2 linked regions of the Drosophila melanogaster genome follow. The protein of the gene in region 2 interacts with the protein of the main gene of each other region in a pairwise test. Each region holds a gene or a part of one and is shown on either strand. Other genes may lie near its edges. The genes, in order: CG12116 and CG7029.

Region 1 (4,000 bases), on a different chromosome or scaffold from region 2:
TTAGAAAGTCAATGTCAAGGTCAGCATCTTAAAGAGTTAACTCGAGTAATCTTCTCTCGAAAGCTCTGCAACTTTGTTATAAAGTTCAAGCTCTCAATTTGTCATTAAATTTAATTTGTATGTTTATTCCCCGCATCCAAGGGAAAAACTATAAAATCCAACTGATTACAGAATCTTTGCAACATTGTAGGGAAGCTCCATTTATAATTCCTGATTGCTTTTTACAATATTTCATTTGTAATTTGATTAGGAAAGCTTTAGCAACATTTTGAGCAACTTATGGCTTTTTAAATTACTTTTCTATAAGGAATACCCAAAAGTATGCCTTGAATATAAAACAGTTGATTCATTGAAAGTAAACTGAAAAAAAAAAAAATTGAAAACCATAAATACATTTAATCAGAATGAGGCGAACTAAGCCATTTATAACTGTATAGATTAAAGATTTGTCAAAACCTCATTAGTTATTAACTACAAATTCAGTAGCCAAATTTTCACATATAATTTTGAAAACCCGGATCAAGAATCAGTCTATTGGGAATTTTGAAAATTTTCGACCCGGCAACACCACACATACAAAATTCTATACATTTGAACACGTGTGGGTTTTCTTATCACTGAGACTATTCAATCTGTCTCATTTTCTGTTTTGAGCTAACAAATATATATATATATATATGTATATTCTGTATATTTGTTTAATCTGTTGTGCATTGCTGACTCATAAACTCACGCCTGCACATACAAATTTACCAATAGTAACTAATTACTAAGTATATTCTGCAGTACTCTTTTTTTGAACATCAGTTTTAAATATATTATAGGTAAAATATAAGGAGTGTGCTTCGGTGATTCCTGTCTATTCTAATTAAAAATAGACTCAATTTCAAATTCAGTTGAAAGTAGCAAATCAACAATATATGTTAATATTGTGAATGGCAAACCTATAGAAATCTAAAATTCTACCCACCCACCCAAAATAAAAATATAATTTTTCGTTCGTTTTCCTGTTCGTGTGCTTGATTTTCGTGCACTTGCAGGTCTGAAATCTGGGACATTGGCCAGATTTTATTAATTTCCAAGGCGATCAAGTCATGTACAGCATTTAAATCGTCAACCAAGATTAGAACCGAGTCCATCGGGGACGCAGCCCACCGCCACGGTGCTACTCATAAAACGAAGGTGTCGTAATAGTCGACATCGTGACCGGAGACAAAGGATATCTCCTCCAGAATGTTGATCAGCTTGAGTGTGGCCTGGCAGGGCTTGATTCTCGGCAGCTGGAGCAACTGCTTCGTGGCTATCAGATCAGCGGGAGTGATCCGATTGCCGTTCACATCGCACTGTCCCTCGTGGGTGTCCATCAGACCGGGCGAGAAGCTGAGCACATGGACACCGAAACGATACTCCTCGGCGGCCATGGCGCGGAAGTACATATCCCTGGCCCGTTTGCACGAGCAAAGCAGACCAGCATGGACCAATGGACGTACCATCAGCGATGAGGTCACATTCACCGCCAGCTTCTCCACTCGCTCCAAGTGCTTCGATTGCAGCCACGTCTGATTGAGCGCCACCGGAGCATAGAGCTGCTGCTGGACATAGGCCTTCCAATCGTCGTCGCTCTGGGGTTCCAGGAGCATATGCGTGGCCGCCTTTCCCTCGTTGTGAAGGATTATGGAACGCTCGAAGCGTTGATTGTCCTTATCCGCCATGAAATTATCCATCAATGCCTGTTCCATTAGCTGCACACCATTCGAGTGATCTTTGTCCAACTTTCCGATTGTCACCTTAACGTTCTCCGTCTTCAGTTCGCTCCGGAGATGATTCTCCAGCTCCCGAAGCTGCTCCTGATCCTCATCCAAGATCAAAGCAAGGGATCCAGTGGCCAGGCGACGGCAGAACTCCAGCGCCAGGGATTGACCCAAAGGATTTGAGCTGCCGCTCAACACCAAAAAGGTGCGTCTATTTAAATCCATTCTCTTTGCTGCCATTATTTTGATTTAAAGGATTTCGGGTACTTGAGGATTTCGGGAACTGAAGAATCTTCCACTTGTTTTCACTTGAAGCTGTACGACTGTACTGATGCCTTATTTCCTCCGGGCTTTGCCAACTGGACTCTGTTTTCGACTGATAAGCTTTATTCCGATTTCGATTGGCCAACTATATGTGCATATATATGTATTGTATATATATTTATGCTCGACTGAGCAACTCAGGTTCCGATTCCGTATGGAGAAGCGCTCTGGACTGGTGGGGATGTCAGCTTGGGGCTTTTATACAACCCAATCGACTGATAAGCCGGGGTTCAGGCGTCTGGTCTTGTTGCCGTGCCATTAACCATTTGTAATGTTTGGGATTTTGGCACCGTAATCCGGACCCATGGCGCATCATTTAACCTCTGGAATCTGATGGAGTGGTGCGCCAATATTACGCATCGGGGGCCTGGTCCTGGTAAATAGACATAGTTTAGATAATGTCCTAACAAACAAATTGCTCTATATGCTTTAACATAGATTATACTTTTCATTTCATTTTATACTTTCATATTAGAATAAGCTAATTTTTTCAAGCCCCTTTTGGCTTTGCCACTGTTTCCCATGAGCCAAAAACCTGATCGATTGTCATCTTGAAGTTCATCGAGTTCCTTTGATATGGCGCTAAGTCAAGGTTGTCTTTTTAGTGCAAGAGATTAACCAAAGAATTTTGTAAACAAATCAGTTGGCAACAATTAATAGTGTAGCACAGATGGGGACAATATTATGTGGAAAGTAGAATAGTACATTTTATAGTTTTGTCTAAGCAAAGTCCCTTCTTTTTTTTGCAAAACAAATTAAATAAATTTCCATTCATATAGTTTTTTCCCATTAAAACTGCTTTCCTATTTTAAGTATATATGTTTATTTTCCGAATCACATAACAGGTTATCGCATTCAGTCGTTGAACTTTCGTAGACGAATAAAATGCAAATGGTTTTTGCAATTACATAATACATATAATATATGCCTGTGAATTACATGGGTAGTGTAACACGTGTGAATTTAATGAACTCTCTCGTTACTAAACATCCGTTAAATCGCATGTTTAAAGATAACGTAAGGTACATATATATTAATGTGTCATATAGGGGTTTTTTTTTTTTTGCCTAGAAATGTGATTTTTCCATATTTCTATAGACATTATCGATCGGAAGGGAAGTGCTTTAAAATCTATATTCAAGATCTATCGATAGACGGCAGTGTTTCCAGAATTTGCTGTTTTGACTATATTTTCGCCAATAACAAGCTCGAATTAGGTTAATGGCCTTATTATATTCCGGTGGAGTCTGCTGCCGATTCCCGGATTCTCGTTTCGAGATGACGCTGACCCATTTAGAAATCGGGAACGGAACGCAGTTCTAATCGTAGTATAACCAAATAAGCTCACATTTGATGGAGGGAATAGCTATGCAAAATAGAGTATACAGATTATCTAAGTCGCACTACTTCCCTTTTCTTATAATATATAATTACATATTAATATATTCATATATTGCAACATAACTGCAAATCCAAGATCAAAAATAAACCTCTATGCACCTATGAATGCCAAAATCTTGATAACTTTGCTGTTTTGCTTGTTGGATAATGACCAGTCTTGAATGGCTGGAACATCTTGGTTGGTGTACCCCTACTTCATTGTTAGCCACTCACATGGTATCGTCCAAAGTTCTTGGAATTCACCAGTGGACAGTGGCAGTGGGTAATAGCATCACATCTGTCTGTTTATGTTGATTTAGGGGTATTATCAAAAGTGCGCGGGGCTTTCAAGCCGAAGCACGTAGCATCGCAGCTTTAGTGGGCAGGCGTGGACCTAATGGAAAGCATATTTGGAACACAGGCTATACCTGAACCTGACCCTGTCCTCCGTTCAATGTCGTTCAGCGGGAAAGTGACCCCTAGAAGATTTCATTTAGCTGGAAGAAAGAGTGAAAATTTCATTCACCTCGATCAAAATCGAGAGC
Region 2 (5,150 bases):
GGCGAGGGCCACAATTGGATCAGCAGTTGGGGGGGGGCAAATGGATTTGTCATACTTGACTGTGGAAATCAACGGATGAGTCATCATAGTCCATGCAATTGTGGAAAAACAACTAAATTCAATTAGAGCTAAAACCGAACAATCGATATGAGAGCGAAATTCTAAAATCCACCTAAAAGTATGCCATTTAAACTTTCATTCGCCATCTGTAGATCTATTTTATAATTTTTTGCTATGTCTGGTATTCTAATTTATGGATTATGATCACGACCTGTTTTTTTCCCTTTCAAGACCCAAAAACATATGGCATCCGCTGATCTTTCGAAGCCGACAATAATTAATTAACAAATAAAAGTAGCAGAAAATCCCAAAAAAAAAGAAAAAGAAAAGCGACAAGTTTTGCGTTTGTATATATACTTTTTCGTATCTTCATGTAAACAAGCCAATTGCTGTTCATTGAAAGTGATATCTATGTACGTACATATACATATGTATCTTTTTTAGCATTCCCCGTCTGTTTGAGGTTGATTTAATCAGCAGCAGTACACCAAAACAGCTGATAATAGATAGGGGGTATATGAATATAATATATGCATTTACAGGGTGCTTGTGCTGTGAATACCGATGATGATTACTTAATGTATTCAACTCATTCATGCCCTGCCTTTGTCTACCATTCGAATCTAATGGGGGGAAATGTACATATGCGCATTTATAATGCTTTTATTGGGAAATTGGAAAATGTAGTGCGCTCCACTGACTGATGATCGCCTGTTTGTAATTGTTAATGAGCACTTGTGCATTGCTCCCGCACTTTGAACCCCCCTCGAACTGTGATTCTATGCTATAATTTTATGTGCGGTGTTCAGTTTCAAAGAGGGGCACATGTTCTGTGTTTGCTTTGCTTGCAGCACGTGCACATGCGCCGTGCCGGGAAACTTGGATCTTCATCCTGCCGGAAGAGGCGTCTTCAGGCTCTTCGAGCTCTATTTACCACCATCGTTGTGGAGGAGGGATGTTTGTTTGGCCGGACCAAGTGGGCACTTGGTTTGGTTTCCCACTTGAACGGCTTCATTAGTCGCAGAGATAAATCAAAATCTGCAGTTGATTTACTTACCAGATGGTCGGCGCTTATCGCAGTGATTTATTTGGCTGAAGAGGAAATATTACAAATAGTTTTTAGTAATTTCGAAATTGTTTTATATCTAAGAGGATCTTAATTGTGACAAGCTAAAATGATCGATGGTTTGGTATAAAAGTGAACAATGAAATACTAAATTATTATTTGAAGTCATTTCAAACTGATAAAAGCAAATAAGTTTAATAACAATCGCTCTCATTAATCAATAACAATGACTTGAACTAACTACTTGTTTGTATAATTAGTTAAGATTCAACTAGAGATTTCCATTATTCATAATGTGCCATTTGAACGGGCATTGCATTCAGTGCTTTAATGGGAGATTGCTATCAGACCTGAAGATCAAATCAATTATTAATCTTTAATCCTGTGGATTACGATTATTTTTATTGTGGAATATTCTATTCTATTTCTAATAGTAGTAGCAACATACTTAATTTTTCTAAAATGAGAATTTATCTTTACCTCTATTATATACCATTTGTAAAACCATGGATAATAAACTTCTATATCCAAAGGGTTGCACTTGCTGCGCCACAGATGGTGCTATTAGCCGTATCCATGAAGTTGTCGCTCTCGTTTTCACTTTTCGCTGGAGTCCGTGCTACATGTTTCCTTATTTTGGGGTTAACTCGGCGATGCACCACATTGTATAATGTTCCGTGCGTTGGGGTACTTCGTGCGTTTTCGGGTGCTTTTCATTCTTTTCACTCGGACTCGGATACACCCCGAAGATACTTACACTGGGAGGTGCCCTCTCACAGATACTCTCTCACACACACACGCACACACACACACATAGAGGCCTCGTCGCTTTGTAGCCGTCGCTTCGCCTCTTTTTTTCGGATTTCAGATTGTCGTTGCCGCTCGCGTATTTTCATTTTCAGTCAGTCTCCTTGGGCTGGTGCAACTGTGAAAATGTGCGGAGCGTGTCGTTTGTGAAAGCCTTGATTATTTTCCATACATATATATATCTATATGTATTTCTTATTTTTCGTTTCACATTTCGCTTAATTTGTTTACGCGCCTCGTCGTCGGTTCGTCGTTCCGTTCGTCTGGTTTGAATAATAAACTCGTAGATACTTTGTGTGACGCAGCAGCAGCAGCATCCCAATCAAAGTGGAATCACTTAAAGGGCTTTAATTGTGCGTGAGCCAATCCCCACAGAATTATCTGAAAGATACTCGTTAGATTGGCCATCTTAAGTGCATCGTCGGTAGACGAGAGTGTCTGTGTTTGTGTACTTTCTTTAATGTCTGATACGAACAAAGGAACCAAAGTTCTCTTTGACAACGAACTTTTTGGGATTATCTAATACGCAATCCGTTTTTGGGGTAATGTAATGCCAGCATTTAACAATTATTTATGAGTTTTCTGCACTCGAAAATGAGATCATCTGTAGTCGGCGTCTGTATCTAATCGGTTATCAGGTTGTCAGTTGCATTGCTACCAGTTTCAAGGCTTATCTTATCAACTAAAATTTGTTGGGCATGCCAAAAGTGTTTGTTTAAGCCAAATAAAAGCGTTCAGCAACCGGTTGATAAGCTCGATTTGCCTGTCAAAGTAGCAACTGTGTATCTGCATCTGCAAATAGCTTTGACCTTTTTGCCAAAACCAAAAGACTTCCGCGTCGATATGCACACATGCGTTTGATGATTTCGTAATTACAATCGGCACACAAAATAGAAACAACATCGACAATGCGGCTATATCTGTAACTGCATCGCCATCGTGGAAAATGCAGATGCATTTTCTTGGGCTGCCTCATTTAATTGGCGGGCATGGCGTACTCCGCCAAAAGAGTTTTCCCGCTGCCATTTTCTAGGCGCAATGTAGGCCAACAAGTACGTTGAACTAAACTAAAATGCTTGCCATCTCGAGAACAATGAGGAAAATATATATACTTGTGTTTACAAAAAAAGGGCTTGCCTATGCGACACCATAAGGGTTTGAAACTATATCTATAGGAACCAAAAAGAAAGTAGCTGAACAAATAATATATTATATAAATATTTTATAAACCAATCTTGCTATTAAACTTTTATTGATTGCAATTGCCGACATTAGAGGCCAATGTAATGTGTCATTTGCCACGCATTTCCCTTAACTTGTCCGCAATGCCAACACCTAAACAAACATTTTTGTTGGAGTTCAAAATGTGATTGAACCTGGTGGGGGGCTACACCTTGCAGCTCCAACTGGGTGAAAAAACTGTACTTTCGCATCGGCTACATGCGCTGTTTATTTTTGCCCCGGCCGCGGAAAATTGCAAGGTGCAAAGAGAAATCCAAATGAGTTGCGTGCACGAAATCGAAATGCATCTGCAATTTCCACACAATATTTTCGCAGTGCGTCGGCTTCTTACTTGCGTTCGTACCAAAAACATTATGTTTATGATTTCAAGAACTTCATGGCTCTTGGCAAATACAAGGCAGCTGGAGCGTGGCCATGGACAACTTGCCACCATGTTTATCGGAGCTGCTTAAATGCCGCTTCGATGCGAGAGCACTTTTCTTTTCCACCATGTACATATACTTGTGCGTACCACCGCCTTGTGGCAGAGTGTATGTTGGTTTGGTTCCTATGTATTTTGGCCGCTTGCCAGATGCGGCAAAGCCGTTTGGCATTTTCCGAGCCAGGTCCTTGGTGCGCCTGAGCACTCCTCAGACTTTCCCTTTCTCGATATTTGAAAAACGCAGTCCTGAGGGATTCCTTTTCGTGCGCGACGCTTTCCCCGGTGGTTGGTGGCCATTTTGCGATCCTTTGTCTGTCATCTTACACTAAGGAAAAAGAGGTTTTATATATCTCCTGCATTTATTACTACTGGCTTACCACTTTTGTAGCAATTTTGCTATTGCTATTTAGTTGCATTTCCCCTTTGTAAAATATATAAAGATATTGTATCTTTTGCTGATGTCAGGCATCAAGTATGCAGATATATCTCCTATAATCTCATTATGCCAAGCACCTGGTGGATCTAGATATTTTTCTTTGGCAAGCTCATGTGCGCTCTAGATAGATTTCAATAGCAAACATTATGACACATGCTCGCCAAAATGTCGGACGACAAGTTAATATTAATGAACTTGGCTAAGTTTCTTTTCGGCCAGTGATTTAAATTTAGACACCTGTGGCGAGCCTGGCCAAAGCTACACGGCTTCAAAAGCCCTCTGTTTAGCAAGGATGGCCATTTCCGTTTTTTGTGTCGGAAATTTGATGCCATAAATTAGGCACCTTTAGGGTTTTGGGGGCTTTGCTGCTAACGCTTTTGCTAACGAGCCACGAATGCAGTTAATTTGCGCGTCAGGAAAGGCCAAAGGAATTGCATTCCGAGTTTGGCCCAAAGCCGCAGGGGCATAAATCGATGGTGGGAACACAGCTTTTGTTTATGCCACATTGTTAGTTTGGTGGGTTAATTTTAGACGTTTTTCGTCGAAACTCCGCATTAAAGTTTAGATAGAAGAAATAACATAAAAGTCCCGAAAACCGAATGCAGAAAACTCGTAAATTATTTTTATATGCTTCTCACACCGAAAACATATCAACAGACACAAAACTTTTTGTGGGCTGAACAGTGTAGCGCATACACACAAACAATCTGTGTTATTTTTATATATAAAACTTGGTCCATGTGTCGTATAGAGAAGAGAAAACTTACGCATCAAGCATAACAACATGTATAAATAGCCATCAAAGACTACGAAGAAATCAAAATGAAAAGTGCAGCATAGAAAAGAAGAACCGAAAGGAAAAATCCAAACAAAATGTGCAACCAATCAATGGAGTTGAACCGCTTAAAAAAAAGAGCCAATAACTAAAAATACAGCAATACAGAAGCAGCGACACTGTCCCAAGAACATCTTGGCAACATCGCAGCGTTGGTCCGCAGCGGACTGGCCAAAAATAAATCGGCAGCAACATACGCCTGCAACAACTAGATGTTGTTGCTGCTGCTCGCCTTCATCATGAGATTCGTAGACATTTCCAAACGCTGTGCCGCCTGCTCCAG

What was found.
Region 1: the proteins of CG7029 (region 2) and CG12116 interact in a two-hybrid assay, tested with the Drosophila melanogaster proteins (one large-scale study listed by BioGRID).

Annotation. Positions count from the first base shown.
Region 1 is NC_004354.4:8,466,764-8,470,763, forward strand, and holds CG12116 (uncharacterized protein), read right to left. Parts: upstream 2,250-4,000; 5' UTR 1,992-2,249; coding exon 1,170-1,991; 3' UTR 680-1,169; downstream 1-679.
Region 2 is NT_033777.3:22,779,684-22,784,833, forward strand, and holds the start of CG7029 (uncharacterized protein), read left to right. Parts: upstream 1-2,044; 5' UTR 2,045-2,475; intron 2,476-4,783; 5' UTR 4,784-5,079; coding exon 5,080-5,150.